Neurospora crassa OR74A: one gene and its partners. The protein of the gene in region 3 purifies or fractionates together with the protein of the main gene of each other region. This does not show direct contact. Links are inferred from orthologs where the notes say so. Each region holds a gene or a part of one and is shown on either strand. Other genes may lie near its edges.

The links.
Region 1: the proteins of NCU07547 (region 3) and NCU00981 purify together in Saccharomyces cerevisiae (affinity purification with mass spectrometry; 6 studies listed by BioGRID, with this or other methods). This does not show direct contact. The link is inferred for Neurospora crassa OR74A from reciprocal best matches to the Saccharomyces cerevisiae genes MRT4 and NSA2.
Region 2: the proteins of NCU07547 (region 3) and NCU00925 purify together in Saccharomyces cerevisiae (affinity purification with western blotting; 10 studies listed by BioGRID, with this or other methods). This does not show direct contact. The link is inferred for Neurospora crassa OR74A from reciprocal best matches to the Saccharomyces cerevisiae genes MRT4 and NOP7.
Region 4: the proteins of NCU07547 (region 3) and crp-4 purify together in Saccharomyces cerevisiae (affinity purification with western blotting; 3 studies listed by BioGRID, with this or other methods). This does not show direct contact. The link is inferred for Neurospora crassa OR74A from reciprocal best matches to the Saccharomyces cerevisiae genes MRT4 and RPL5.
Region 5: the proteins of NCU07547 (region 3) and NCU02511 purify together in Saccharomyces cerevisiae (affinity purification with mass spectrometry; 6 studies listed by BioGRID, with this or other methods). This does not show direct contact. The link is inferred for Neurospora crassa OR74A from reciprocal best matches to the Saccharomyces cerevisiae genes MRT4 and NOP2.
Region 6: the proteins of NCU07547 (region 3) and NCU05289 purify together in Saccharomyces cerevisiae (affinity purification with mass spectrometry; 6 studies listed by BioGRID, with this or other methods). This does not show direct contact. The link is inferred for Neurospora crassa OR74A from reciprocal best matches to the Saccharomyces cerevisiae genes MRT4 and NOG1.
Region 7: the proteins of NCU07547 (region 3) and NCU00794 purify together in Saccharomyces cerevisiae (affinity purification with western blotting; 5 studies listed by BioGRID, with this or other methods). This does not show direct contact. The link is inferred for Neurospora crassa OR74A from reciprocal best matches to the Saccharomyces cerevisiae genes MRT4 and RSA4.

Annotation. Positions count from the first base shown.
Region 1 is NC_026501.1:6,508,714-6,512,216, reverse strand, and holds NCU00981 (ribosome biogenesis protein NSA2), read left to right. Parts: upstream 1-1,339; 5' UTR 1,340-1,523; coding exon 1,524-1,526; intron 1,527-1,643; coding exon 1,644-1,662; intron 1,663-1,738; coding exon 1,739-2,024; intron 2,025-2,169; coding exon 2,170-2,611; intron 2,612-2,678; coding exon 2,679-2,714; 3' UTR 2,715-3,003; downstream 3,004-3,503. Other genes in the region: NCU00980 (hypothetical protein), read left to right, coding at 1-644. UniProt on the Saccharomyces cerevisiae protein: Involved in the biogenesis of the 60S ribosomal subunit. May play a part in the quality control of pre-60S particles. Under normal, rapid growth conditions, high levels of NSA2 would allow the progression of pre-60S particles through the ITS2 processing.
Region 2 is NC_026501.1:6,705,681-6,709,826, reverse strand, and holds NCU00925 (pescadillo), read left to right. Parts: upstream 1-1,415; 5' UTR 1,416-1,543; coding exon 1,544-3,535; 3' UTR 3,536-3,646; downstream 3,647-4,146. Other genes in the region: gpit-2 (glycosylphosphatidylinositol transamidase 2), read right to left, coding at 1-758, 841-994; NCU00926 (hypothetical protein), read left to right, coding at 4,014-4,146. UniProt on the Saccharomyces cerevisiae protein: Component of the NOP7 complex, which is required for maturation of the 25S and 5.8S ribosomal RNAs and formation of the 60S ribosome.
Region 3 is NC_026503.1:4,412,045-4,415,526, reverse strand, and holds NCU07547 (mRNA turnover protein MRT4), read left to right. Parts: upstream 1-1,499; 5' UTR 1,500-1,734; coding exon 1,735-1,925; intron 1,926-2,019; coding exon 2,020-2,587; 3' UTR 2,588-2,982; downstream 2,983-3,482. UniProt on the Saccharomyces cerevisiae protein: Component of the ribosome assembly machinery. Nuclear paralog of the ribosomal protein P0, it binds pre-60S subunits at an early stage of assembly in the nucleolus, and is replaced by P0 in cytoplasmic pre-60S subunits and mature 80S ribosomes.
Region 4 is NC_026505.1:5,646,510-5,650,024, reverse strand, and holds crp-4 (60S ribosomal protein L5), read left to right. Parts: upstream 1-1,430; 5' UTR 1,431-1,605; coding exon 1,606-1,608; intron 1,609-1,800; coding exon 1,801-1,838; intron 1,839-1,919; coding exon 1,920-2,784; 3' UTR 2,785-3,015; downstream 3,016-3,515. Other genes in the region: NCU04332 (epoxide hydrolase), read right to left, coding at 1-889, 991-1,125. UniProt on the Saccharomyces cerevisiae protein: Component of the ribosome, a large ribonucleoprotein complex responsible for the synthesis of proteins in the cell.
Region 5 is NC_026501.1:2,564,276-2,568,484, reverse strand, and holds the start of NCU02511 (S-adenosylmethionine-dependent methyltransferase superfamily domain-containing protein), read right to left. Parts: upstream 2,801-4,209; 5' UTR 2,387-2,800; coding exon 1,495-2,386; intron 1,425-1,494; coding exon 1,388-1,424; intron 1,315-1,387; coding exon 1,126-1,314; intron 1,057-1,125; coding exon 541-1,056; intron 478-540; coding exon 320-477; intron 253-319; coding exon 1-252. Other genes in the region: NCU02510 (clathrin heavy chain), read left to right, coding at 3,607-3,696, 3,787-4,209. UniProt on the Saccharomyces cerevisiae protein: S-adenosyl-L-methionine-dependent methyltransferase that specifically methylates the C(5) position of cytosine 2870 (m5C2870) in 25S rRNA. Required for 60S ribosomal subunit synthesis and processing.
Region 6 is NC_026504.1:5,445,455-5,449,654, forward strand, and holds the start of NCU05289 (nucleolar GTP-binding protein 1), read left to right. Parts: upstream 1-1,400; 5' UTR 1,401-1,592; coding exon 1,593-1,624; intron 1,625-1,680; coding exon 1,681-1,710; intron 1,711-1,811; coding exon 1,812-1,840; intron 1,841-1,905; coding exon 1,906-1,923; intron 1,924-1,993; coding exon 1,994-2,137; intron 2,138-2,239; coding exon 2,240-3,300; intron 3,301-3,371; coding exon 3,372-4,016; intron 4,017-4,109; coding exon 4,110-4,151; 3' UTR 4,152-4,200. Other genes in the region: NCU05290 (orotate phosphoribosyltransferase), read right to left, coding at 270-971. UniProt on the Saccharomyces cerevisiae protein: Involved in the biogenesis of the 60S ribosomal subunit.
Region 7 is NC_026501.1:7,142,010-7,146,020, reverse strand, and holds NCU00794 (ribosome biogenesis protein Rsa4), read right to left. Parts: upstream 2,801-4,011; 5' UTR 2,650-2,800; coding exon 2,300-2,649; intron 2,240-2,299; coding exon 1,246-2,239; intron 1,181-1,245; coding exon 1,055-1,180; intron 990-1,054; coding exon 906-989; 3' UTR 203-905; downstream 1-202. Other genes in the region: NCU00795 (membrane bound cation transporter), read right to left, coding at 3,678-4,011. UniProt on the Saccharomyces cerevisiae protein: Involved in ribosome biogenesis. Required for processing and efficient intra-nuclear transport of pre-60S ribosomal subunits.

The DNA of each region.
Region 1 (3,503 bases), on a different chromosome or scaffold from region 3:
AACGCAAGGAATTAAAGGCCGAGGAAGCGAAAAAGGGCAAGAAGGATGTAAGGCCACCGACTACCGGGAGGAGCGGTGTGACAGCTGGGCCAACCCGCAATGGTACCAACGGCACGACTGCGAACCGTCAGCGGAGTATCACCCCCTCAGCCCCGGCTGGCGCCAAGTCCAAGACAGGCCAAAATGCCGTGGAGGAGAAGAAGGTAAAGAAGGCTGCTTTAGCGACGACTGGATACCAAGGCACGGCACGTCCCCGCCCAGGGGCCACCACCACAAAACCAGGAGCATCCACCTCGGCAGGCGCAAGTAGGGGCCGTGGGCTGTCCGGTTATGGCGCCTCATTCTCACGTCCCCGGAGACGCGAGGAGGAGGATGAAGAGTTGGACGATTTCATCGAGTACGACGAAGATGAGGACGATGGCTACGGCTATGGTCGTCGCGGTGGTTACGAGTCACTGGAAGAGGATGACTCAGACATGGAGGCGGGATTGTCCGACATCGACGCGGAGGAACGCCGGGCAGAGTTGCAGGCTCGCAGAGAAGACATGGAGCAGGAGGCGCTGGAGAAGAGGTTGAAGCGCGAGAAGGAGGAAAGAAAGCGGGCAGCACTTGCAAAACTCAAGTCCAGAGCCGGAGACCGCTGATATGTCGTGGTTGCGTGGCGTGTCTCCTTCTTTCTTTTGCCTCTAAATTGGGAAGGTTTCGGCGCATCGTGATAATTTCAAGGCAGGAATTCGTTTTCTGGAGACGGTTTTGCAATGGCGTTGGCTGGAAGACAGGACGGACACCCAGAAACATTTTGCATCAGCGTCTGGAGTTTAGTCATTTTGCACGGATTCCGGTTTCATTGGCGGGCGTTGGCTGGCAATAGAGCCCGTCGGACGAATTATAGTATAGGTTGTCATGACACGGTGTAGCATATCTAGATATCTTAACACCCCCAAGCATACCACGTCTTTGGGTTTTGCCTTTGTTGACATACCTACTGTGCTCGTTGAAGCGGGTTATGCGAGCCACACAACTAGTGTCCCTTGGTAATAACCTAGTTGCAGGAGCCATTCTACGAATGGTAAGGTGATCTCCGGATCTATACAAAAGTTGTCCACTGGCCTTCCATCAAGGTTCTCGTCCTCAACGGGCGGCTCTGGCTGCCGCGGTGCACTTCCAATGCCCTGCAGCTGGCAGGCACCTTCATCCGAACCCACTCCACGTTTTCCTGGACATGCTGTTAAGTAGATATCAACCAATGACAGGTGATGAAGCTGCCCCACTATGTCCACCTCTTTACGGGTCTCCGCCACTGGAGGAGCCGCCCGATAAGGAAAGCTAGCCTTGAATGGTTTTTTTATCGGCTTCAAGACGTCCGTTCAGCAGGCATTCGCATAGGTAGAGGTACTGAAGCATATTGACCTAAACCGCATCGTCATTCTCGTCGCCCTTCGTCGCCCTACAACATCTGAAGGCCAGATTGCGTCGCCACATATCTTGAACCGCAAGACCCTCAAAGGGCCTAAAACACCAATATGGTACGGATATCATTTCTTCGAATTGCCCTCCCAATCCACAGCCACTCTCCTCAACATCATGACCCCTTCCGATCACTTGAGAGCAGACCATGCTAACCGACGTTTTCCTGAATACAGCCTCAGAACGAATACATCGGTATAGTTCCCTTCGCACTCGATCTTGATTACCGTCGACCTGTTTCCAGTCCCTAACCAATTATTTCGTTTCGCAGAACGCGCCCAGAAGCTTCACGGTAAGCGTCTGGACACCGAGGAGCGCGCACGCAAGAAGGCTGCCCGTGAGGGTCACAAGCAGAGCGAGAATGCACAGAACTTGCGTGGCCTGAGGGCCAAGCTCTTTGCCAAGGAGCGTCATGCCCAGAAGATCCAGATGCGCAAGGCCATCAAGCAGCACGAGGAGCGCAATGTCAAGGGCGCCCCCGAGGAGAAGGACCCTTCGAACCCCGTTCCCGCTTATCTGCTCGACCGTTCGAACCCCACGAGTGCGAAGGCTTTGAGGTACGTCACTTGAATGGGAGGACACATGAGAAGCGAACGGCCGCGGCGGAGGTGGAGGCCAATGTGAATGCAATGATGGCAGTAGTCATGGAGGTTGGAAAGGGTCCCATACGATGACGAGAGACTGACCGTTTTCTTCGTGCAGTTCCCAGATCAAGAGCAAGCGTGCCGAGAAGGCCGCTCGTTTCTCGGTCCCTATTCCCAAGGTCAAGGGTATCAGCGAAGAGGAGCTTTTCAAGGTCGTCAAGACGGGCAAGAAGGTGCACAAGAAGGGCTGGAAGCGCGTCGTCACCAAGCCAACATTCGTCGGACCCGATTTCACCAGACGCCCAGTCAAGTACGAACGCTTCATCCGGCCCATGGGTCTCCGTTACAAGAAGGCCAACGTCACCCACCCTACCCTCAATGTCACGGTTCAGCTCCCCATTCTCGGCGTCAAGAAGAACCCCAGCAACCCCCTTTATACCCAGCTTGGTGTTCTGTCCAAGGGTACTATTATCGAGGTCAACGTTTCCGATCTTGGTATGGTCACCGCGTCGGGCAAAATTGCCTGGGGTCGTTATGCGCAGATCACCAACAACCCTGAGGTATGACCAGCACAACCCCGCCTCTTAACTTTACATGGACGAACTGCTAATACTTAACTTCCACCAGAACGACGGATGCTTGAACGCTGTGCTCCTGGTTTAAGCGCAAGAGTGAAGAGGGTGATGGTTTGATTTGTCTAATTATATGTCTAGTCTCTTGGGCGGCAACTGTAACGGGATTGCGTTAAATCTGATTTTGCATCTGGGACTGGCGTCTGGTGTTTTGAAAGAGGATCGACACTCACGGCCGCGCAAAATATCTCGTCCGGGGGTTCACTTAGGTAGTATAGTGGTTAAGATACACACACAATCTGCGGTAGAACATTATACCCTCCGATCATTTGTTTTGGTTGATTGTATCACCTGATGGTTTAGAAGACATGGATTAATACGATAAGACACATAGATATATCTTCTCTGGTTGCTGCTGCGCTTGATCTAGGTTGACTCCCATGGGTTTCGAGCAGACTATGCTGGCAAGCGATTAACCTTACAAAGGTCTAAATGGCTGTATGGAACCCTGCATCCTGAGTCGATGGAAATTTGCTGGTCGATTTGACATGCAACACCGCAAGCAACTAACGCAAGGGCAACACATTGACTTCTACATCAGCTCAGAGCATCTAGCTTGTCTTCTGTATCTTGATTTTAGAAGGAGAGCAGTTCCGAGCTTCATCACTCCAGGGTCAACCCAGCCTCCAAGAATCAAAAGCAGGTATTTTCTATCCAGACCGACGAGTAACTTCTGTACTCTTCAAGCCCACTTGCCACCACTCAACGGTCAACGAAACGCTGATACCGTACCAACGAAGAGCTACTCGAAGCGATATAAAGAAGCGATTTGCCCATGTCTCGGGATCCTAGCTTTAATGGCCCCGGGAAAGCGCAGGAA
Region 2 (4,146 bases), on a different chromosome or scaffold from region 3:
CACGCTCAACCCGCCAACATATGACGACAAATGCAGCCAAAAGACGGCCAAGAAGAATGAACGGAACGAGTCGAACATCTCGACAAAGAAGTACCACCACAGGCCGATATTGGGGGCCAGGTCAGACAGTGTAAGTTGCACACCATAGGTGGAACTAAGGAACTCCCATGAGCCGGTCAGGAAGAACGACATTTGGAAAAGCACTGCCAGAGCACCAAACGCATCCATAACCATGGTCGCGGTAAACTTGATCCACGCATTGGGCGCTCCGGTAGCGGGCAACTTCTGCCTGTCATAGCAAAGAAGAATGAGAGGCGGGAGGAGGAGTAGCGGATACATGGAGAGGTATGATGCGAAGGCTAGGGCGACCATGGCGTGAAAGGGTCTGCCGGAGATGGCATTGGCGACGGCGTGGAGAATGGCACAGGTCGTGAAGACGGTGGTCGAACGCCCAATGCATGTCGCGATGGTGAAGGGGTTGAACAGGAAGAGCGCGGCAATGATGGCACCACTCCAACGCTTGTCACGGCGCGGGGAGGTGAAGCGCGCAGACGAGCTGGCCTCGCCAGACTCTGCAATCCTTAAAAGAGCATGGGCGCTCAGAATATCGATAGCGATGTAGAGAAGGTACGTGAAGATGGGAAACGCCGCGAAGCTCGGGAGCAAGTTGAAGATGGGCAGCAAGAGGGGCGCCTGGTGGTAGACGCCGCCATCGTAAGGAGAGACGTTATGGTTATACAGGAAGAGGCCTTCTTGGACTAGATTTTGGTAGTTAGCAAACCTGTGTTCCTCGAGACGATGCGACGAATGCCGAAGAGAAAAACAAAAGCTACAACATACGGCGCTTGAAGCTTGTTACTGGCGTTGAGATCTCGACACGGCCAGTCAGGAGGTCTGGAAGACCGGGGAACAGAGTAAAGAGGGCAAGTCGCAGGACGGCAGCACCGGCGTATAAGCCAGCCGTCCTCCTCAACGTTACCTTGCCGCCATTCATTGTTCAATTCGCCATACGACGAGGTGGGAGCTGTGATGTCGAACTTGTCCCAGGGTCAAGTTACTTCTAACGACATGCCCGTCCAGTTGCGCTATACAGGAGTCGCGCCCAGCACGTTAGGTCGCCTTGTCAATCGCTGTCCCCGCCAAAGCAGACCGACAGCTGGCCCGGCCTCCACAGCTGGCGGGTCCCTGTGGGACAAGGGGTTCTGGAATCCAATCCAGACGGGAGCGGGAACCTATCTGGGCCAGACGGGCCCAGTATGTATTCTAGTAGCCTCATCTGTGCCTATCTGATGCCTCCCGTCTTTCCATCCGCTACGTTATCTTATCTTTGATCAGCTCAGGCGGTGGGAAGTGGCATAAAAAGTTCAGGACCGCGAGGGTCAGAAAAAAAGTTGATTGCAAGTGCACAGAGCGCCCCCACCTACAATTGGCTTCGATAACGATCGAGTCTGCAGACTGAAGAGATCCATCCTTGGTCCTCTTCTCCTTCTCTCACTCTTCCACCTACACCCAACAACCACAACCACCACCACCACACCCCAAAATGCCAAAAATCAAGAAGAAGGGCCAGGCCGGCGCGGCCAAGAACTACATCACCCGCACACAGGCTGTGAAGAAGCTGCAGCTTAGCCTTCCCGACTTCCGCAAGCTTTGCATCTGGAAGGGTATCTACCCGCGCGAGCCTCGTAACAAGAAGAAGGTTTCCAAGTCGGCCACTGCCTCGACCACCTTCTACTACACCAAGGACATTCAGTACCTCCTCCACGAGCCCCTTCTTCAAAAGTTCCGTGACCAGAAGGTGCTCGAGAAGAAGATCTCCCGTGCTCTTGGCAGAGGTGATGTTTCGGATGCCGCCCGCTTCGAGCGCCATGCTGCCCGCCCCGAGGCCACTGGCAAGCCCAGGTACACTCTCAACCACGTCATCCGTGAGCGCTACCCGACTTTCAACGACGCGCTCCGCGATCTCGATGACTGCTTGTCCATGCTCTTCCTCTTCGCCAACCTCCCTTCCACGAGCGCGGTTCCCGCCAAGATGATCGCCCGCTGCGAGCGTCTCTGCCTCGAATTCCAACACTACCTTATTGTTTCCCACAGCCTGCGCAAGTCGTTCCTGTCGATCAAGGGTATCTACTACCAGGCCAACATCCAGGGCGAGGATATTCTCTGGCTCGTTCCCTACAAGTTCAACCAGAGGATCGTCGGCGATGTCGATTTCCGCATTATGGGCACTTTCGTCGAGTTCTACATGACTCTTCTTGGATTCGTCAACTACCGACTTTACAGCTCGATCGGCCTCAAGTATCCTCCCAAGTTCGACCAGCTCAAGGACGAGAACGGTGCTGAGCTCGGCGCTTTCTCTCTGGAGGGTGTCAACATGGCCACCCAGGGCGAGACCAAGGCCGTCACAAACGGGGAGGAACAACAGCAGGGTCCTGACCCCAAGGTCCAGGCTGAGGTTGACAAGATTATCAAGCAACTGAAGGAGGACGAGTCCAAGAGCGACGAGACTGCCGAGGAAGATGCCGAGGCCGACGATGAGGAGAAGCCCACAGACTCCATCGACAAGTTCGAGCCAGTTGCCCCTGGTGGTGATGTTCTTCCTCAGCCGGCGTACAGCAGCAGTGACCCTTCGCAGCTGTTCGCCAACTTCACATTCTACCTCTCCCGTGAGACCCCCCGCCAGCCTCTCGAGTTCATTCTTCGTGCCTTTGGCTGCAAGAGGATAGGCTGGGATTCCGTCCTCGGCGAGGGTGCCTTCACAAATGACGAGTCGGATCCCTCCATCACCCATCACATCATTGACAGGCCAGTCGTACAAGCCGCTACCAACGAGGATGGCGATGGCGAGGACAATCAGACGGCCCAGAAGGTCGGACCCAACCAGAGATACCCCGGCAGGATATATGTCCAGCCCCAATGGGTATGGGACTGCGTCAACGACGAGGAACTCAAGAGCCCTGAGCTCTATGCTCCTGGCGCCGCTCTCCCTCCCCATCTTAGCCCCTTCGTCAAGGCCGCCCCTGGCCAGTACGATCCTACTCTGCCCCTTGAGGCTCAGCAAACCGAGGCCGAGGCTATTGAAGCCGACCTCGAGGATGCCGAGAAGGGTAATGCTGAGGATGGTTCCGATGTCGAAAACGACATGGATGTTGATGAGGCCGAGGACGATGAAGAAGAGGAGGAGGGTGACGAGGAGGATGCCGAGGAGGCCGAGGAGGAGGATGCTGAGGAAGATGAGGAGGAGTCCAAGACCCTCCAGCGTCAGCTTGAGCTAGAAGCCGAGCTCCAAGGCAAGAAGGTGCAGAATACAAAGGTAGACTCCAAGACCAAAGCCAAGCTAGAACAGCGCAAGGCTCTTGAAAAGAAGGCACGCGAGGAGGCGGAGGACCTGGAGCGCGCCAAGGGCATGCTGAGCAAGAAGAAGCGCAAGCTGTTTGAGCAGATGCAGTATACCAACAACAAGAAGAGCGCTCAGGACGAGAAGCTCCGCGCCAAGAGGAGAAAGCTGGAGAAGGAAAAGGCGCAGAAGGCGTAAGGTTAAAACACTGGCAAGGCGTAATTTTTTAGCACTTTATGTTTTGAAATGGGATACCAAAGGCTCATTTTTCTCTTTTCTTTTTGTGTAATCGACAAGTTTTGAATCCTACTCGTCGTCCTGAACTGATGCAAATGTGAATAATCGTGACATGAAAACGAGCGCCCACGAGGCTTTCGTCTGAGGGTTAGGGGTCGCTACGAACCAAACCGTAACGCCCAAGAGAAGTTGGAACGAACCGAAAATAGGACCAACGAAAGGTGAGAGTACAAAGTAAAAGAATTGAGTGAGGAGTCAGAGGTTCATCAGTTTCTCCATCCTTGTTGCTGTGGTACTACTACTGGGATGCTTTCGTACGTCAGTGCGGTTCTTCGACCTTCAATCTCTTGTCACTCCCGTCCTTAGTGATTGATCACCAGAATTTGCACTCAACAACCCTGCCAACGCGGGAAGAGCACCCACTAAACTGGGCCATGCAATGTCTTCACACTTGAATCAAGAAGATTCCGGCGACGAGGATTGGGATAAGGACACTGAAGAGATTAATTCCATCGCATCAGATGAACTGCACGAAACCCGCCCCAATCGGTGGAATGGGGCCCCCTCCACAT
Region 3 (3,482 bases):
GCTGGCCGATGCCTTTTCCATGCCCAGCAAACAATCGGCCAAACGGTCCAGGCCACCGGCATGGGGACCTTGTTGTTGACATGGTTCTGCGCCTCCAATCTCTGTTCAACTTCAACTTTAATCTGAACCCCACCCCGCCGGTTCTGTAGTGTATGTACACTACCAGTATACCTTTAGACTATGTAAAAGCTTTTCGTTTTCGCGGCGAATGACTCACGCAACACAAGTGAGGATCCGGCAGTCGAATTGGGGCGGCTTATGGTAAAAAGGGATAGGCAAAATTGCGGTTGCCGCGTGGCTGGGCTCACACGGCGTGCAACCCACCGACCGATCAAAAAGACCTCTCGCCGTCAAGATTGGGGGGACTTTAGTTCTCTGGCAGCTTCCAAACTCTTCTCAGTCTTAAATCCGAGAGGAAACGACCGATTGGCGCACCAAGTGCGAGCTTGTTTATCTATTGTCTTACCTTATCGGCCAAACCAAGACACTTTTCATTAGCTGCGTGCCGTTCAAGTCGGTACGTACCTATGTTGTTTTAACCCGTTCCCCGGATTTGCACTAAGCCCTACACTTGGCTTGACATCACACTGCGACAAATCATCATGTCCATCGGTGGCCGGTTGCGTTCCCGACAGCATCTCATCTTCTCACGCAATGAATTCAGGTGCCCTTGGCAGCATCACTTGACATCAAAGGAGGGGCTCGTCTTCTTTTCGTCTTGACATTCGTGTACTGTCCAAGGGCGTGTCGTTTGATGGCAACCACCGGGTGTCTTGTCTTCAACGGCCTGACCGTCGTTGTGAAGCCGCGGGACGAAACGCCAATACCGGTTGCTCCAGATTAGCTCACACATTCTCCCGTATATCCGTCAGACAAACGGGAGGGAGTCATCATTCGTGAAACCTGAGGAAGTGAGCCCATGGCGAAGGTTAACCGAACACGCGCTGTTTTCACACTGTCCAATTTGCCGGGATAAGTGAGCTGAATCCACGGAACTTGTTTGAATGCTTTCGATATGGTAATTCCCAGGTCAACCTCTTCAGGAAGGGCTTTGGTGTCCAAGCAACAGGCGCAAATGACTGCAGGCGAGCTACATAGGCCCGAGGACAACAGAGGATGAGTCTTGTGAGTTGTCGACTATCGAGGTGCGCGTTTCCATTAGACCTATGATTGTTTGTTGGAGACATGGAAAAGGAAAGCAACATAAGTGCAATTCATGTCTATCGTGATTATCGATAGAAGAAGTCAAGCAAATGTCAAAAGTTGGGAGGGAAACGATCAAAAACGAATCTCCAAACAACGTCGATACACCAGGGGAAACACAACAACAGGGATGCTGGCTGCACAGTTCAAGGTGGGGTAGGCTGGCCGCAGTCCATTTGGGTGGGGCCTGCCAAAATCAATTGTGGGGGAAAGCCTATCAATGGCTCACCGCCCAAAAGTTTCGCGCGGCAGAAAAAAAACAAAAGTCAGCGATAGGCGACTGCACCACAGCACCGCCGGCACGGCAGAGGCTCCCGTCCCGTCTGTCTGCGTATCAATTGGTGATTCTGATCCTTCCATTCCACTTCCACTCTTGATTCATTTGGGTAGTTGTCATAACCAAAACCAATCTACACCACCAACAACCATCTTTTCTTTGCCACCATAGTTCTGTCTCTGTATCGGCATTGTTATTGTGCGCTTCATCTCTTGTAATCTTTACATCCATAACCACCCACACATACCGTCAAGATGCCCAAGTCCAAGAGAGCGAAGGTGTACAACCTCACCCAGGTCACCAAGAAGAACCGCGAACAAAAGGAGAAGCTCTTTGAGAACATCCGAGAATGCATCCCCAACTACCAGCACTGCTTCGTCTTCAGCATCGATAACATGCGCAACAACTACCTGAAGGATGTCAGAAAGGAGCTGAACGACTGCCGGTATGTTTGTTATTGTCCACCTTCTTCCTACTCAGTAGCCGAATCCAATCGCAATCGCAATCATTGACTAACACTTCTTCTTCCCGTGCTACAGCATCTTCTTCGGCAAGACCAAGCTCACCGCCCGCGCTCTCGGCACCACCCCCGAGGACGCCCAAGCCGACGGGCTCGACAAGCTCTCCAAGTACCTGTCCGGCTCCGTCGGCCTCATCTTCACCAACCGCGACCCCTCGGAAATCAAGGACTACTTCGTCAACCTGACACAAGTCGACTTTGCGCGCGCCGGCTCCGTCGCCACGCGAACCATCACCATCCCCTCCGGTCCCTTGTACTCCACCGGTGGCGAGGTCCCCGCCGAGCACGACGTGCCCGTCTCCCACACGCTCGAGCCCGAGCTCCGCCGCCTGGGCATGCCCACCCGCATGGTCAAGGGCAAGGTCTGCCTGGGTGACGAGGCCGGCGAGGGTGACGATTACGTTATCTGCAAGGAGGGCGAGACGCTGGATTCCAGGCAGACGAGGCTGCTGAAGCTGTTCAGCATCTGCTTGAGTGAGTTCCGTGTCAAGCTGCTGGCCTACTGGAGCGCGGCGAGCGGGGAGGTTACCGAGTTGGAGAAGCCTGGTGAGGCTGGTGCTGAGGAGATGGAGGAGGATGACGAGTAAGGGATGTGTTCATGAATGATACCCTGAAAAGAGGGACGGTGTGTATGTGGTTGCACTTGACGAAGCGGTTGGAAAGGTTCATGATATCAAGAAATCTGCCGTACGAGAAGGGGAACTCCCTTCAACTTACAATAACGCAACATCGAGGGACCCAACAAGAGGGTGTGGGGAGGGGACCGGTCAAAATTTTTGCAAACGTCATTATTTCTCGTTTTTTTACTACTTGGCTTGTTTCCGTGTTTTTACATAGGGAAAGGTTTACGATGATACCATCTTTGTATGGAACTTCTTCTTTTGGGGAACATAAAACAACCGGTCATCTTAGTTTATGTATTACCAGGCGTCTTAAGAGATAGGAGGGGGCAAAGGCTCACGAATAGAAAAAGGCTTCAAAGACAATGTCCTGTATGTGATGCTGACTTCTTGTGATGTTCATCGTTGTGGCACGGCTGGTATAACGAATGATCAAGTCCGCCAAACCATTACCAAAGAGAAGGACAAAGTTGTGTCTATACAACAAAACTCGAATGTGCGCAGTATTTACTTGCAATATCACGGAACCACCAAGCCCTATGACAATTTTCCTCAAACGTCAAAAATAAGAATTGAAAGAGTAGAATAACCCAACCACAGAGTGCTCGAAGAGCTAGCAGAGATGTAAGAAGGCAATACAATTTTCGAACCTGACATGCATCATCATCATCATCTCCGCATTCCACTACACAAACTTACCAATTCTAGAATAGTTTTTCAAGGCCCTTTCCATGTTGACATCGGACACCAAGTTTCTTCCTCTTCTTCTTCTTCTTCTCGCTCAAAAGCGAAATGAAACCAGGTCAAATTCATTCAGTCTTTAGGATATGCAAAAGGCTGATGTATAACCCCCCATCTCCCA
Region 4 (3,515 bases), on a different chromosome or scaffold from region 3:
GGTGATCCCCAGCCAGCTTCAACCCCGTCACGTTCTCCAGCTCATCAACCGCCTCAAACGCCTTTCCCAACCCAACCTTGATAGTCCTAAACCCAGCCTTCCTCGCCGCCTTCAGATTCTCCCCAATGTCATCCAGAAACACAACATCCTCCGGCCTCACCCCTTCTGCCCAACCGCCCCTCTTCCCCCTTTCGGAGTCAGCATTTGCCCTCGCAAACTGATCTACCTTTTCAAGCGCCAACTGATAGATCCTCGGATCCGGCTTTCTTAACCCCACATGCGCCGACGAAATGAAAACATCAAATAGCTGTCGCAACGGATCGCTGAAGAAGTCCCCCTTCTCCGCCCACTTGTGCCCCTCCGGCCAGATCACCGTATTACTCAGTGCCGCGACGACGAACCGTCCGTCTTCCTTGAGTTTTTGGAGGGCGGGAAACATCCAGGGGTCTGGAGCTCGAGCGTGCTCCATCATGTCGTGGAATAGCCACTCGCCGTCGATTTGGGGGATGGGCGGGATCGATAGTAGTTCATCAGAGCCAGAAGAAGAACCAGAAGAAGAAGAAGATGAAGAAGATGAAGAAGATGATGATGATGATGATGATGATGATGATGATGATGATGATGATGATGAGGAGCGGTGATGGTGGTGGTGCTTTTTGGCTTGTTGGTGGTGGTGGTGGTGAGACCGGTAGAAGGATTCCCAGAGGGATTGGTTGTGCAGGTCCCGGTTGAAGCCGGCGAAGAAGGCAGCGTCCATGGGAATGGAACCGGTTTCGAGACGGTGCCAGAAGCCTGAAGGGGCGGAGCGCGAGATGGAGTGGTTGATCCAGCCTGGGGGGATGGAGTGACGGAGTTCGTAGTTGAGGATGGACTGGAAGGGGGAGATGACCTGGGTTTGTGTTAGTTATTTAGTTATGTTGGTGTTGTTTTGTGAGGGGTAGATGTATTTGTGTATATAAGTGAAGTGGTGATGTGGTCATGTTGACTTACACAGACGCCGCCAATGTCAAAGAGGATGACTTTGGGCTTGGGGGACCCGGAGGACCTTTTCCCTTTGAGGATGGTTGGCGCCATGTTGTCGATGGCTTCAAGAATGTATTCAGGGGGAAACTCTTCAGGAAGCATCACACTATAATGTCATGGGACTTTGGGGGTATAAGGATGTTTGGATTCATCTATCAACAACATTGGACCTCCGCACATTGGCACCAGGAAGCGATTAGTGAAGTGAATGGTACACTATACTAGACCTCGGTTCGGGACAGTGATTGCCAGAGGTCGACGGCTACTGAAGCCCGAGACTACTTACAATGCCATTGGCAGAGCCCACAATTGCCTGCCGCTTGCGTGAAATTCTTGGCGCTAGGTCGTCGCCCACCGTGGCGCCACGGCAAAGCATGGGTGAGTGAATCGGTCGTCGCCAACCTGAGTTGACAACCCAGCGGTCAGCCGACCAATCAGGCGCGCTCTTGTTCTTAGGGTTGTGGGGATTGTAGTGCGAAATTCCTGCCCACCAAAGTTTGTTCGCGATCTCGAAATTTCCCTTCTGACAACCCAGCCCGTCTCAAGACCGTTTGTTGAGTGCACCCAGCAAAAGTAGTCAAAATGGTAAGTTGACGACCTACGGCGTGCGTCGCGGCCGTTCAGCAATGAGCGACCAGCGGCTGCGTTCAAATCACACACCATTCCCAGAGGGAAACTTGGGGGAAATTGAGGAGAAAGAGAGTCAACGCAAGATGCTTCGGAGAGGAGGAAATATTCTGAAGCGATAATTGCTGACTCGGGGATTTTGATTGTCAGGCCTTCCACAAGCTTGTCAAGAACAGCGCGTACTACAGGTAAGCAGATGTTCTCTTTTTGAAAATCCGAGAAAAATCGATAGGAGCTCGGGGTTCGCTAACATTCAATCCGCCCAACAGTCGCTTCCAGACCAAGTACAAGCGCAGAAGAGAGGGCAAGACCGACTACTATGCCCGCAAGCGCCTCATCACCCAGGCCAAGAACAAGTACAATGCTCCCAAGTACCGCCTGGTTGTCCGCTTCACCAACCGCGACATCATCCTCCAGATTGTGAGCTCCGAGATCACCGGCGACAAGGTCTTTGCCTCCGCCTACTCCCACGAGCTCAAGGCCTACGGCATTGAGCACGGTCTCACCAACTGGGCTGCTGCCTACGCCACCGGTCTCCTCCTCGCCCGCCGTGTCCTCAAGAAGCTCGGCCTCGACGAGACCTTCAAGGGTGTTGAGGAGGCTGACGGTGAGTACAAGCTCACCGAGGCCGCCGAGACCGACGATGGCGAGCGCCGCCCCTTCAAGGCCTTCCTTGATGTCGGTCTTGCTCGCACCTCCACCGGTGCCCGTGTCTTCGGTGCCATGAAGGGTGCCTCCGACGGCGGTATCTTCATCCCCCACTCCGAGAACCGTTTCCCCGGTTACGACATGGAGTCCGAGGAGCTCGATGCCGAGACCCTCAAGAAGTACATCTTCGGCGGTCACGTCGCTGAGTACATGGAGACCCTCGCCGACGACGATGAGGAGCGCTACAAGTCCCAGTTCAACCGCTACATTGAGGACGATCTTGAGGCTGATGGCCTTGAGGACCTCTACGCCGAGGCCCACGCCGCCATCCGCGAGGACCCCTTCAAGAAGGCCGAGTCCGAGGCTCCCAAGAAGACCAAGGAGGAGTGGAAGGCCGAGTCCCTCAAGTACAAGAAGTCCAAGCTCACCCGCGAGCAGCGCGCTGCTGGTGTCCAGGAGCGCATTGCCGCTCTCCGCTCGGAGTAAATTGGAAGTTGTTATGGACTTTGCTAGGGGTTGAACAACCTTTTGGGAGGAAACAGGTTCTGTTCATTCGATGCGCATGGGTGCGAAATCATCTGGGTCATGGGGATGACATGGTCTCTCAAAAGGGTTCATCTAAAAGCCAATCAACTTTCTTCTGTCTTGAGCAAAAGAGCATTACTCGGCGTTCGTTCATGTGATACCTCAATCGTAATTTGATCTTCCTTTTCCCATTTGAGACTCGACGCTGTCCATCTTTTCTTGTGATTGATTACCTTTCCAAAATCTCCAAAACCGGTGCTGACCGACGGCAAATTCTCGTGAAACACGATTCATGTAAAGTCATCCATACTCTCTCACTTCCACCGCCAAGCAATGTCATTTGCTTGGGGATGAAGATCAACTTTACAAATCTCACGAGTCATTGACCCCTCACGATTCATGGTAGGTTGCTACTGTGCGCTACATGTACACTATAACTCGATACAGGTTTGTTCGTTGTTTGTTAGTCCGAGACCTTCTAGCCAACTTGTCCCGGCCTTTCAACAAACAATTCAAGGTTGATGTGTGTTTTTCTTATCGATGACGGGATTCTCAAGATGAGTAGAGCTAAGGTATGAATTCATATCTAATTGGACAAACTGGACAAATTCTGTTTTTTTGCCTCCCCCTCCCCTTCCCCATTTGTAACTTTTATATATTTTTCTCCGAGTTCCATTGATCGCGCGGCATTC
Region 5 (4,209 bases), on a different chromosome or scaffold from region 3:
CCAAACCTCTCCTGCGCATAGCGTTGCGCTTAGCGCGCTCCATGTACTCCTTGTCCTCACCATCATCAAAACCGCCAAAGTCATCCTGGGCTTCGCACTCGGCACCAATGGGCGTCTTGTCGACAACTTCTTGGGCTTCCTGGGAAGCTTGGCCGTCCAGAGGCTTGTTGGACTTGTCGACGCCGTTGGCGCGGACAGCAGTGGCGGGCGTGGGGCCGAGTTTCTGGAACTTGGCGACGAAGAAACCGTCGACTGGAGGGTTGTGTTAGTGATGAAGGAGGGGAGGGAGGGAAAGGGGGTATAAGGAGGCGAAACGTACCGTTGTAAAGATGGGGGTAGTATCTGCGGGTGAGCTTGAGGCTGGGGTGGAATGATTTGCCCATGAAGCTGGTGAAGCCTTCCTTGCCGAAAGCCAAGCCAGTCTCGACGAGCTTGACGTTGGGACGGCGGCTGAGCGCATAGGCAACGACTTGCTCACTGTTTGTAATCTTGGGTTAGCGTCTTCTGAAAGTACAGTTAAGAACGATATGGAAAACGCACTTTTCCTCAACGGCAACGGAACACGTCGAATAGACAACGTAACCACCAGTCTTGCTGGCATGGTCAACCGAGTCGATGGCAGCCAGGAGAAGCTGCTTTTGGAGATGGGGGAGCTGCAGGAAGTCCTTCTCGTCTCTGTTGGTCTTAACAGAGGGATCCTTGGCAATGACACCAGTGCCCGAGCATGGGGCATCGAGCAAGACTCTGTCAAAGCCACCCATGACCCTGGGGAACTCACGCGCATCGTAGTTGCATACGATAACGTTTCTTGCGCCCAGTCTGTGAATGTTGCCGATCAAACCTTTGGCACGCTGCTTGCTGGGATCGTTCGCAAAGATCACACCGGTGTTCTTCATCAACGCCGCCATATGGGTGGTCTTGCCACCGGGGGCAGAGGCCATATCGAGAACACGCTCACCCTCCTGGGGGCAGAGAGCCATCACGGGCAGGAACGAAGACGCGGCCTGGAGGATGTAGTGACCAGCCAGATACTCAGGCGTGGCACCGAGGGGAACGCTTTATGCCCCAGTTGTTAGCCATTTGCATGAATCGCGTCGTTGTAGTCCTGATTTAGAATATACGTACTTCGAGTCAAAGACTTGCAGACCGACCTTGGACCACTTGCCTACAGGCTCGAGTGTGACACCGCGGTTGATGAGTGCTTGGGCAAGATCGCGGCGATGTGTTCGGAGGGTGTTTGTACGGATAACGACGGGGCGGGCACTCTCGTTGGCTTCGAAAAAGGCGAACGCCTCTCTGGGAGGGAACAGGTTGCTACAAACAGTCAGACAGTTTCCCCACTGGTGGTATCGCCGCAGACAGGCATGCGACAGGTTGTAAAACATACAAAAGCTTTTCAGCGAGGTACTCGTTGTAACCGTAGTCTGGCAAAACCTGAAGTTAACATTTGTGCATTTCACGAGAAGTATTGCGCAAGGAACATCGGGTCCTTACAGGCACAGATATCCTTGATGAGTTGGCTGGTGTACTCGGCGCGACTCTTGCCCTCTTCCGCCGAATTCGAAAAGTCGTCCAGGATACGGATGGCGTCTGTTATCCTCGTTCTCAACATCTGGAGATCGGGTGCCAGCAAAGTTTTGGTCTTAGTCTGAAGTTGGTCGTCGTCATCACCGAGGTCATCACCACCAGCGATGTTGGTCTGGAGCGCCTCGTCGCGCAATTCGGCCTCGTTCTCCTCTGCTTCCTTCTCTCTTTGCATATCCAATTTCCTCGAAAGACCCTCGATGTTGGCGGCTGTGAGCTTCTCCTCTCTATCCTCTTCGTCATCCTCATCGTCAGAGAAGACGAATGCCTCCTTCTTGGTAGCACCGTCCTGGTCGGAATCGTAAACCGAGTCGTCGTCAGTGCCGAGGAAATCGTCTCCTAGCTTTTGAACGTCCATCTCATCGCCGTCGATATCAAGGCCCTCCAGGTCGGACGCGCCAAACTCGTCGTCCATCTCCTCGTCATGATCGGGCGAAGGCTGCTTTGCCTTCTTAGGCTTCTTGGACTCCTTGGACCTGTGGGCGGGCTTTGTGCCAGTCTTCTTCACCTCCTTGACCTCTTTCTTGGCGCCCTTGACTGCGACAGTGTTGGAGCCGGATGTCTTGGGCTGCTTCTTGACAATCTTCTGCTTCTTGGATCTTCTAGTGTCGACTTCGGTCGTGGTTTCGTCAAAGGGAATGCCCTTCTTGCGCTTGAGGTTGGCGAAGTGCTCCTCCGAGAGGGGCTCAGGAGGGCCCTGTTTCTGCATGCGACGTCCGACACCCATTTTGATGGTATTGCTGGTCGTCTGGTGGTGATTGGGATGTTGTTGGGGTTGGTTTGAACACTGATAGCCCACCATCGACAGGCGCTTGTGGATATTTCTCCGGGTCGATTTTCTTTTCTGAAAAAGCTTATCGATAGCAATGCCAAGTCTCTTTCCTCAAATCGGGTTCCACCTCACTGCGGTCCCAAAAGGTGAGCCATTGGTCAGTGCCCCACATTAGTCAAGCTGGGCCAAGTTCGGAATCCCTGTAGCAACAGCTGACGCTACCCCTGGAGCTGGGCTGTTCTGGAGTAGGGAACAGCTGCCCCTGGAGCCCGGCATGAACGGCGCCCCCGGAGGCAGGCGGCCTGGAGGTATAAGGTACCTAGAGGTAGGAAATGGAAGGACCGTCTGACGGACCTCGCAGGAGAGGCGATCAATGCGGGCAAAGGAAAGTAGAAGGATGACGGGATGAGGGCGGGCAACCTGGACCGGGCGGACAGCTTGAAGCGAAGGGGGCAGGCAGGCCTCCCGGGCAGGCGCCTGCCGCCTGGTCTAGGCGCACCCGACGCAGGGGGAAGCACTGAATGGAGCCGGCGCCGGTGGGCGGTGGACGCCCCGGCCGCGAGGTCCCGTGTTAACACATCACTCAAAAGCAGGCAGGTAACCTGAGAGGTACTAGAGGTACCTTCCGTCTGCGCTGAACAGTTGCGGCATGTACAAACACACTGGACAGCTGGAGAGGCATCTCACCTCAGCACCTTCCATCTTTCCTGCTGTATCTTTCATCTCTCACGGTACTAACTTCCCGTAACAAACGACGTCTCCTCTTGCTGCTTTGCATCCTTCAACAACCGCGATTCTTCTCTATTCTTTCTGCTGGAGCATTGAAGTGAGGTGACATCGAGGTACCTGCTCGCCTTTACTTTACGTATCTGTAACTGAGCGGCAAATCGCGACTCACCTCTCACCCACAGTTTGGCGGCGGGTTTTACTGCGTACCTGCCTTCTGGACCTTGCGTTAATCCTTCCACCTCCAACCTCCTACCTACCTCTACCTACCTGATTCATCCGTCCTCTTTCCCCCTCCCCATTTCTCGGGAGCTCGGTCATTTTCCCCCCAAAGTACAACCAACCACCACCACCACCGCCTCCTTTCACGTCGCCGCCATTCCATTCAGTCCACGGAGCTTCACGAGCCTCCATTTCCCCAATCTTTCTACTTCCCAGCGGATTCACCTTCCAGCCGCTTTTGATAAGTTGGCTGCTAATCTTCGTCACTCTGCGCGCAGCTTAGCGCAACACCACCGCCCATCATGGCTCAGGCCCTACCCATCAAATTCCAGGAGCTGCTGCAACTCAGCGCCCTCGGCATCAACCAGACTGCCATCACTTTCAATACCTGTGTACGTTGTCCTCACCTTGCTCTGACTCTGCTAGTGACAGTTGTCGCGCCTCCTCTGGCACCCCTGCTGACGTGAACCCCCCGCTCCCAGACTCTAGAATCGGACAACTGGGTGTGTATTCGCGACAAGAAGGACGAGGCAGCGTCCCCTGAAGTCATCATCGTCGATCTCAAGAACGGCAATAATGTTATCCGACGTCCCATCAAGGCCGACAGTGCCATAATGCACTGGACGCGCCAAGTAATTGCCCTCAAGGCCCAGGCGCGCACACTCCAGATTTTCGACCTCGAAAACAAGGCCAAGCTCAAGTCGACAAACATGAGCGAGGATGTCTTGTTCTGGAAGTGGGTTAGCGAGACCACGCTTGGCTTGATCACAGATGGCTCTGTTTACCATTGGGATGTCTTCGACCCGAACCAGCCCGCTCCGGTCAAGGTCTTCGATCGTAATGCTAATCTCCAGGGCAACCAAATAATTAATTATCGGACCAGCGCCGACGGAAAGTGGATGGTT
Region 6 (4,200 bases), on a different chromosome or scaffold from region 3:
GAAATCAACATATTTCGGCGCGTCCCCAAACTTGTGGAATCAGATTAGACCTTCTGTGTGGGATCCCAAAGTCGGTGGAAAGATTGATTGGATGCGCAATCAGAACCTGACAATCCCTATCCTTCTTCTTCTTCTTTTCTTTCTTCATCTTCTTCTTCTTGTAGAGTGTCAGCCACAGGTTTGATGTTGTGGCTATGGTCAGAGGGTACTGGGCGAACAAACCTGTGATATACATGTTACTAGTTTATCAGAGAATCCAACTCCAGCGTTTAGTCGGTAGCCTTGTACTTGGCGCGGTATTCCTCCGTCTTCTCGACGTCCTCAGGGGAGGCAAGACCCCTCATGCCCTCAATGATGTCGTCCAGAGTAAGGATGGCAAAGATGGGAATGCCGTACTCCTTGCGGAGCTCGCCCATAGCACTGGGGCCGGGCTTGCTATCGTCACCATCAGCGGCAGGGAGCTTCTCCATGCGATCAAGAGCAACGACGATGCCAGCGACAATGCCGCCCTCCTTCTCGATCTTGGCGATAGCCTCACGCTTAGCAGTGCCAGCAGTGATGACATCGTCAACGATGAGGATCCTCTTGCCCTTCAGAGGGGCGCCAACAATGTTGCCTCCCTCGCCATGGTCCTTGGCCTCCTTGCGGTCGAAAGAGTAGCAGATCTTGCCGTAGGTCTCGGGGTCAAGCTGGGCAAGCTTGTCGGTGGCAGCAGTAGCGAGGGGAATGCCCTTGTAGGCGGGGCCGAAAACAATGTCAAAGTCCAATTGGCCGCTCTTGTGAGCCTCGATAATGCACTTGGCGTAGGCAGTGGAGATGGCCTGGAGAAGGTCGGCACGGTAGAAGTCGCCGGCGTTGAAGAAGTAGGGGGAAATGCGCTTGGACTTGAGCTCGAAGCTGCCGAACTTGAGGACGCCGCCGTCGATGGAGGCCTTGAGGAAGTCAGCCTTGTAAGGCGAGAGAGCGGCCATTGTGCTGGTACGTAGTGTTTGTAGGATTGGAATTGAAGCTGAAAGAAGAAGAAGAGATTTCAGAAGAACAGCGTTGACGTCTGTCTGCCTGGCAACTGAATAGCTGGAGGAACCTGGGGAAAATTGAGAAAATGGAGGGAGGGGCCGAAGGAAGGGTTCAGTTCCTGGCGGCGTCACACGCGGCAGTCTTTCAACCGAGTCAATCAGATGGTGGGTTACGAGTGGGCCACCTAGTTCCAGGAGCCAGGCCCGCGAAAGCCCGGTCATCGGCCACTTGGGCGCGGTGGGGTCCCTGAAAAAATGTGGGGTTAGAAAATCCTAAATTCCACACTAGCCGAATCCTTAAGCACCCCTTGGCAGCATGTCTTGGCAGCGCACACTACCTCTAGGTTCAATCCACTTTGGCACTCTGCTGTTATCTTATCGATTGGAGCAGCCGCTGGAAAAATATTTCGAAGTAGACTTTCCATTTGGCAGCGCAGCGCCTCCCCGTCGCCCTCCAACACCGCCCCCTCCCCCCGCAGCCGGTCTCTATCCTTCAGACCGTCCGTCCGACCTCATTGTCCTGCACTTCCAGTCCGAGATCTTCTCACCAGCAAGTGCTTGACATCTATACCCGAAATGACGTGGAAGGACATTGCCCCTGTGCCTACGTAAGGACATCTTGGTTGTTGTGTTGTTGTTTGGCATCGCTAACTCGCTTCTACAGGGCACAGGAATTCATCGACATCATCCTCTCGTAAGTCGACATCGGCAGCCCCCAACCACGACGATGCGAAGTCTTCGAGTTCGAGTCCAATGGCTTGGCCACGGTGGTGAAGGATATTAACTGTTCAACAGGAGGACACAGCGTCGCTTGCCGACTCAGAGTATGTTGTACAATGTGGAAAATTACGTGAAGCATGGCATGATCGCTAACCTTTACTTTGAATAGTTCGTGCTGGTTTCAAGAGTATGTCGTCTCGATATCCGATACTTTGTATGAGAATTCGAATAGATCATTGACACGCGACACCGAACAGTCAGCAGAATTAGAGCCTTCTACACCCGTAAGGTCAAGTTCACACAGGAAACATGCAGCGAAAAGTTCGGCGCCATCGTCTCGAGCTTCCCCATCCTCGCCGACCAGCATCCTTTCCACCGCGATTTGATGAACATTCTCTACGGTACGAATCCCGCGCTTCCCTGCGACAGGCGGTTTCAGCAACAGCGGGTTGTGAACCGCGCCTGGTCTTGTTGGGAATAGTGGCTGACAAGGTGATGGATAGATGCCGACCACTTCAAGGTTGCCCTTGGTCAGGTCTCGACCGCCAAGCACTTGATCGAGACCATCTCTCGTGATTACGTCCGTCTCCTCAAGTACTCGCAAAGTTTGTACCAGTGCAAGCAGTTGAAGAGAGCCGCCCTCGGTCGTATGGCCACCCTCATCAAGCGTCTGAAAGACCCTCTCGCCTACCTCGACCAGGTCCGCCAGCATTTGGCCAGATTGCCCGATATCAACCCTACCACCCGTACCCTCCTCGTTGCCGGCTTCCCCAACGTCGGCAAGTCTTCGTTCGTGCGCTCCGTCACCCGCGCTGATACCCCTGTCGAGCCCTATGCTTTCACCACCAAGAGCTTGTTCGTCGGCCACCTCGACTACAAGTACCTCCGTTACCAGGTCATCGATACCCCTGGTATTCTCGACCACCCTCTCGAAGAGATGAACACCATCGAAATGCAGTCAGTTACTGCCCTTGCCCATCTCAGAGCCGCCGTCATGTTCTTCATCGATATCTCGGAGCAGTGCGGTTACTCGCTCAAGGCCCAGTGCAACTTGTTTAGGTCCATCAAGCCCCTTTTCGAGAACAAGATGGTCTACGTTGTCCTGAACAAGATGGATATCAAGACCGTTGAGGACCTCGACCCCGAATCCCAGGCCGATCTCATGGACCTTACCAAGTCCGGCAACATTCAGCTTTTGCGCGCCTCTTGCGCTACTCAGGACGGTGTCCAGGAAGTCAAGAACACCGTTTGCGAGGCTCTCCTCGTTGAGCGTGTCAACCAGAAGTACAAGGCCGGTACCAGCAGCAACGGCACCATGGGCTCCCGTCTCACCGAGGTCATGTCCCGTATTCACGTCGCCCAGCCCGCCGATGGTGTTCTCCGCGAGACCTTCATTCCCGAGGCCGTCAAGGGTCTCAAGAAGTACGACAAGGCCGACCCCGAGAGGAAACTTCTCGCCAGGGATATCGAGGAGCAGAACGGTGGTGCTGGTGTCTTCAACGTCGATCTCAGGGAGAACTGGATCTTGGCCAACCCCGAGTGGAAGTACGACAAGATTCCCGAGGTCAGTATCTCTCGCATTCCGTCTCCCCCAAATTAAACCCGGTTACTAACATGTCACGCTTTGACGAACAGATTGTCGACGGCAAGAACGTCTACGACTTCATCGACCCCGATATCGAGGCCAAGCTGGCCGCTCTCGAAGAGGAAGAGGAGCGTCTCGAGAAGGAGGGCTTCTACAAGTCGGACTCGGACCTCGGCGACGAGTCGGAGGAGGAGATCCTGCAAAAGGCCGAGTACATCCGCGAGAAGCACAAGCTGATCCGCAACGAGGCCAAGATGAAGAAGTCGCTCAAGAACCGCGCCATAATCCCCCGGAAAATGCAGAAGAAGTCGTTCGCCCAGCTCGAGGACCACATCGACCAGCTCGGCGTCGACACCGAGGAGATCAACCTGCGCGGCCGTGCCCAGGTGCGCGAGCCCACTCGCGGCCGCTCGCTGGCCCGCAGCCGCAACGCCACCGAGGACCCCGACGCCATGGAGGTGGACACGCCCAAGAGCGCCGCCGAGCGTCTTCGCTCTCAGAGCCGTCCGGCCCAGCGTGGCCAGGGCGCGACAAACAGGCGCGACGACGGTGTTACTGGTGGTGTGGGCATGGACGGGGAGACAGCCCGCTCCAAGGCCGAGAGGGTGGCCAAGCTCGGCCAGCGCAAGATGAACAGGATGGCCAGAGCCGGCGAGGCCGACAGGCATATTGGTGCTACCATGCCCAAGCATTTGGTACGTCTTTTTTCTTTTCTTTTCCCCTTCCTTCAATCCCCCTTTTCTCTTTTCTCTTTTCATTCCTAAACTAACCACACATGTTTTCTATAGTTCTCCGGCAAGCGTACCGTCGGCAAGACACAGCGTCGTTAATTTGGATCGATGATCCATATATGTTTGGGTTGGGTTGGGTTGGGTGTGT
Region 7 (4,011 bases), on a different chromosome or scaffold from region 3:
CATAGGACCAGTGGCAGCTCCCGTCCGGGCCTTCGAAGGATGCTTCAGAAAAAAGAAAAAAAAAGGCTTGCAGTGTGCGTGGTTCTTGCTACCTCTGGTCTGTTGCTTCGGGAAAGTGAATCATATGCCGTCTTCGAAAGTTACATATTCGTAACTCTGAACATCAACGGCTGGTTCACTAGCTCCAAACGTCATGATTAAACAACGTCTCTCTAGGTTGCCATGAATGCATATCACTATCCTTGTCTATATCGTGGCACCTATGTAACGCCCTGCATGATGCGCGCAATGAGAACCATTCCATCAAATGCTCGCATCTATCAAACCTCAAATGGATACCCCCGGACATCGCTTAACATGACCACGTCTCTGTCTATCTATGGTGCTTTCCATTTTCCAAATCTTTCGAGCGTCTTGTTGGTCTTGGTGTGTGGTCGCGCGGTTTGGTAACATTGAACTGGCGGCGGGAGATTTTACCGATTTGCCAGGCCCATTCCATCGCCTCTTTCGCTCTTGCCCAGCGATTCGGAAAGTTTGGCAGAGGCGCAGTCGGTAAGCACTTAACAGCCACACAACATCACCACCCTGCGAGTCGAGGTGATGTGTGCAGCCGTGTTGCGTATTGACTCAGCAAGGCCTCTTTGGTGAGCCGATACTAGTAGCTAGGCTGACGTCAAGGAAACTTGGCTCGCGAAGATTGCCGTGAAAGTTGTTTCTGGCAGATACCTGGGCATGTAGTATCCCAAGCCGGCTCGTTCGTGCGAACGGCAAACTGCTGCAAACACCACGGAAGCAGGCCAGAAGTCATATCACCCCGCTGAGGCCTCCGCGAGTGAAGTAGAGCGGGGGCTCTCGGGTTCCGACTGCTGGCTGTAGGAGAGTAAGGTTCGTTCTTGCCCTCTTCTTTAGTTTCTCCATGTCCTCACGGCCTTATCCTTTCCGCCTGATCCTACCATCTTGCCATCCGGCGACCAGTCCACAGCGTATACCTGGAAGCGAGTTAGAATTTTCCAGCAGTGGGAACACCGATGTCGCCGTGATTTGGTTCACATACCTCGTCTTCGTGTCCGGGAAGGTCCATGGCGAGAGTGCCAGTGCGCACATTCCATGCCTTGAGGGTAGTATCTTTGCTAGCCGTAATCAGAAGCCTGCTATCGGCGGACCAGGAGCATTGGTAGACCTGAAGTATCAACGCGTTAGAACTTTCCCCTCGTGGTAAGAGATGAATGTGGGTAAGGAACTCACGGGTGCAACATGACCCCTCAAGCTCTTGAGGAACTTGCCATCCCTGGCATTCCAGAGCTTCACGCTGTTATCCCAACCAACCGAGGCGATCAAAGTGCCATCGGGAGAGAATTGGACCTGGTTCACCTTGTTCTGGTGTCCCAAAAGTCTAGCAACGGGCTTGGTACCGTTGTTGGTGGGGTCCCACAGGTACATGGTAAAGTCGTCACTGGCAGATACGATGCGCTCAGCAACCTTGCCATTGATCTTGGCCGCTCTCTCGAAACGCTCCTTGGCCTTCTCCCTCCTGCCCTCCTCGGTGGAAGGGACGTCCTTGGTGTGGTCAAAGTAGGCGGTCCTCAGGGCGTGGTCGCTGGACAAACCAATATGGTTGATCCAGTGGGCGTGAGATGTCAAGCTGTGTACCAAGGTGCCCTTGACGGCGTCGAATACCCGGACAACCTTATCGTGCGAACCCGTGTAGATGAGGTCGGTTCCACCCCATCGCACGCAGGCGACGGAGCTCCTGTGACCGCTCAGGACGTGCTCGGTACGGCCTGTGTTGACAACCCAAATCCTACAGGTACCATCCTTGCTAGCACTGGCAATCCTAGGGGTGCCGTCTCTCCACAAGTGGTACGGCTGCCACGCCGTCATCAACACCCATTTGGCGTGGCCCTTGAAAGGCTGACCAACGGGCTTGCCGGCCTCGGGATCCCATATCCTCACTGTGCCATCCATGCTGCAGGTCGCTAGTTGCTCTCCATCGGGTCTCCAGCTGACGCCGAGGACCCAGCCGGTGTGCCCTTTCAATGTGTGCTTCGGGGTACCTGTATTTGTATCCCAAATACGAGCTGTGTTGTCGCCGCTGCCGGTAGCAAGGCGTCCGGATGAAATAGGCGAGAACTGGGCTGCGAGGATGGGTTGGCCGTGACCGGGAATGCGATGGGCAAGGCGCGAAACTGCTTGTACCCTGAAAACAGCCTGGGGCTCGGCACTAAGAGTAATTGTGGTTCTATGCGGAGGTTAGCGAAGCAGTTACGTGCTGGGCTTCCTGTGTCCGGGTCTTGCATACTCGAAGGGGTTCTCGACACCATGCTGCTTGAGAAGGCCGAGGAGGTCGGAAGGGTACTGGTCGACAATGATATCCTTGCCGGGAATATGGATGCGGAATCGGTATGGGGTGAACTCTTCGCGGTCCCTCTCGAGCAGGGTGTTGAGCAAGACGGAGATGTTCTTTTCGGTGGCATCGGCAAAGTTGATTTCGATGACATCGGTCATCTGGTTGCCATCGCTGTCGACGAAGTTGGCCTTGAAGGAGCCGAGCTCAGGCGCCAGTATCGGGGCGACATCGAGCTGTGTTGTGGTGCGCTCAATCTCCTCTCTCTTTTGGCGCTTCGACGGGGGTGGTAGTACTGTCGCCATCTTGGATTATGTTGTGCCAGAAGTTGTCGCTGAAAGTGTGTTGCGATACTCGCCCGACTTCCAGGAAGTGTTGATGGATTGGGGGCCTTCTGGGTTTGCACTGGACTTGCTGCCCCTGCAAAGGCTGGACCCAGCAGAATGCGGACAGTCCAAAATTTTGGCGGTGATGGCGTGCAAAACTGGCTTGGCATGTCCAGTTCCAATGGAGCTCTGACCCACACTTGCTTTCCCCATGTCTCCACAGGGGCATCACGAAGCTGGGCCAGGGCTGTTTACGATTTAGCGCTGTTAGTGCGTCTGCATCCAAACCTTCCACTTGAACCATCGGGCATCATCCCATGTCATCATCATCCCATCTCCAAACATTCCAACACTCCGAGTCAACTCCCACTTGTCGTCACCACTGCTTCCCAACAGCTGTTATACTGTATACCCTACGTGATCTCCCATCTATGTATGAACCCAGCATGAGCATCGCCCGGCTGTTCTTGACTCCTCCGGAGGGGATTCATGTTCCGACATGACGCCTTTTTGTTTCTCTATACTACTACACAAGGCACAAAAATTCATTTCTCTCCCTTTGTCTAGGTGACCCAGACCCTCAAATATCGCCCACGTCCAGAGGAATCGCTATACCCTGGATTCCCTTCACCAGGATACTCGTCAACTATCTCTACTTATTGACCAAACTTCTCATTCCCCTCGCTTCTCATTGACCGGCAGTCCCGATATTCCAGGCTGCCCGGGTTTTCGCTTTCCCAATGCCACTTGCAAAGTATTGCGGCTGCTGCTGGTCCCAAGTCGGGTACGGTCACGGCTGGCACTGGCTCTGGTACTAGCTTTGATACTGCATCTGATGCGGCCTCTGCTACGACAATTACTGATATGGCTGTTGGCAAAAGCCTAAACCTCCTTAGTCAAGACAAACTACTCCTTCGGTCTGGGCCTCAACCATAACCGTTCATCTGTCATCCGAACCTAGGTAGCCTACACACTCCGACCTCCCATCCTAAATTCTGTCTTCACCCTTACCCAACAGAGCTAGCCAACCTTGGATTTGGCAAGTAAAACGCTGCCACGGCGATAATGAGGTAGGCAGATGCCAAAAGTGCTCCCTCGAGGTAGTTACTCCTCCCATCTCTAACGAGAAAATTCACAATGAAGGTGCTAACGAACATGCAGACAGTCTCGAAGAGGGTAAAGTAGAGAGACATGTCTCGATCCATGATCCAGCCCAAGATAACCACTACCGGCGTCACAAACAGCGCAATCTGGATACTGCTGCCCAGTGCCACGCCCAGTGCCAAGTCCATCTTGTTCTTGAGTGCCACGCTCACAGATGTGATGTGTTCAGCTGCATTG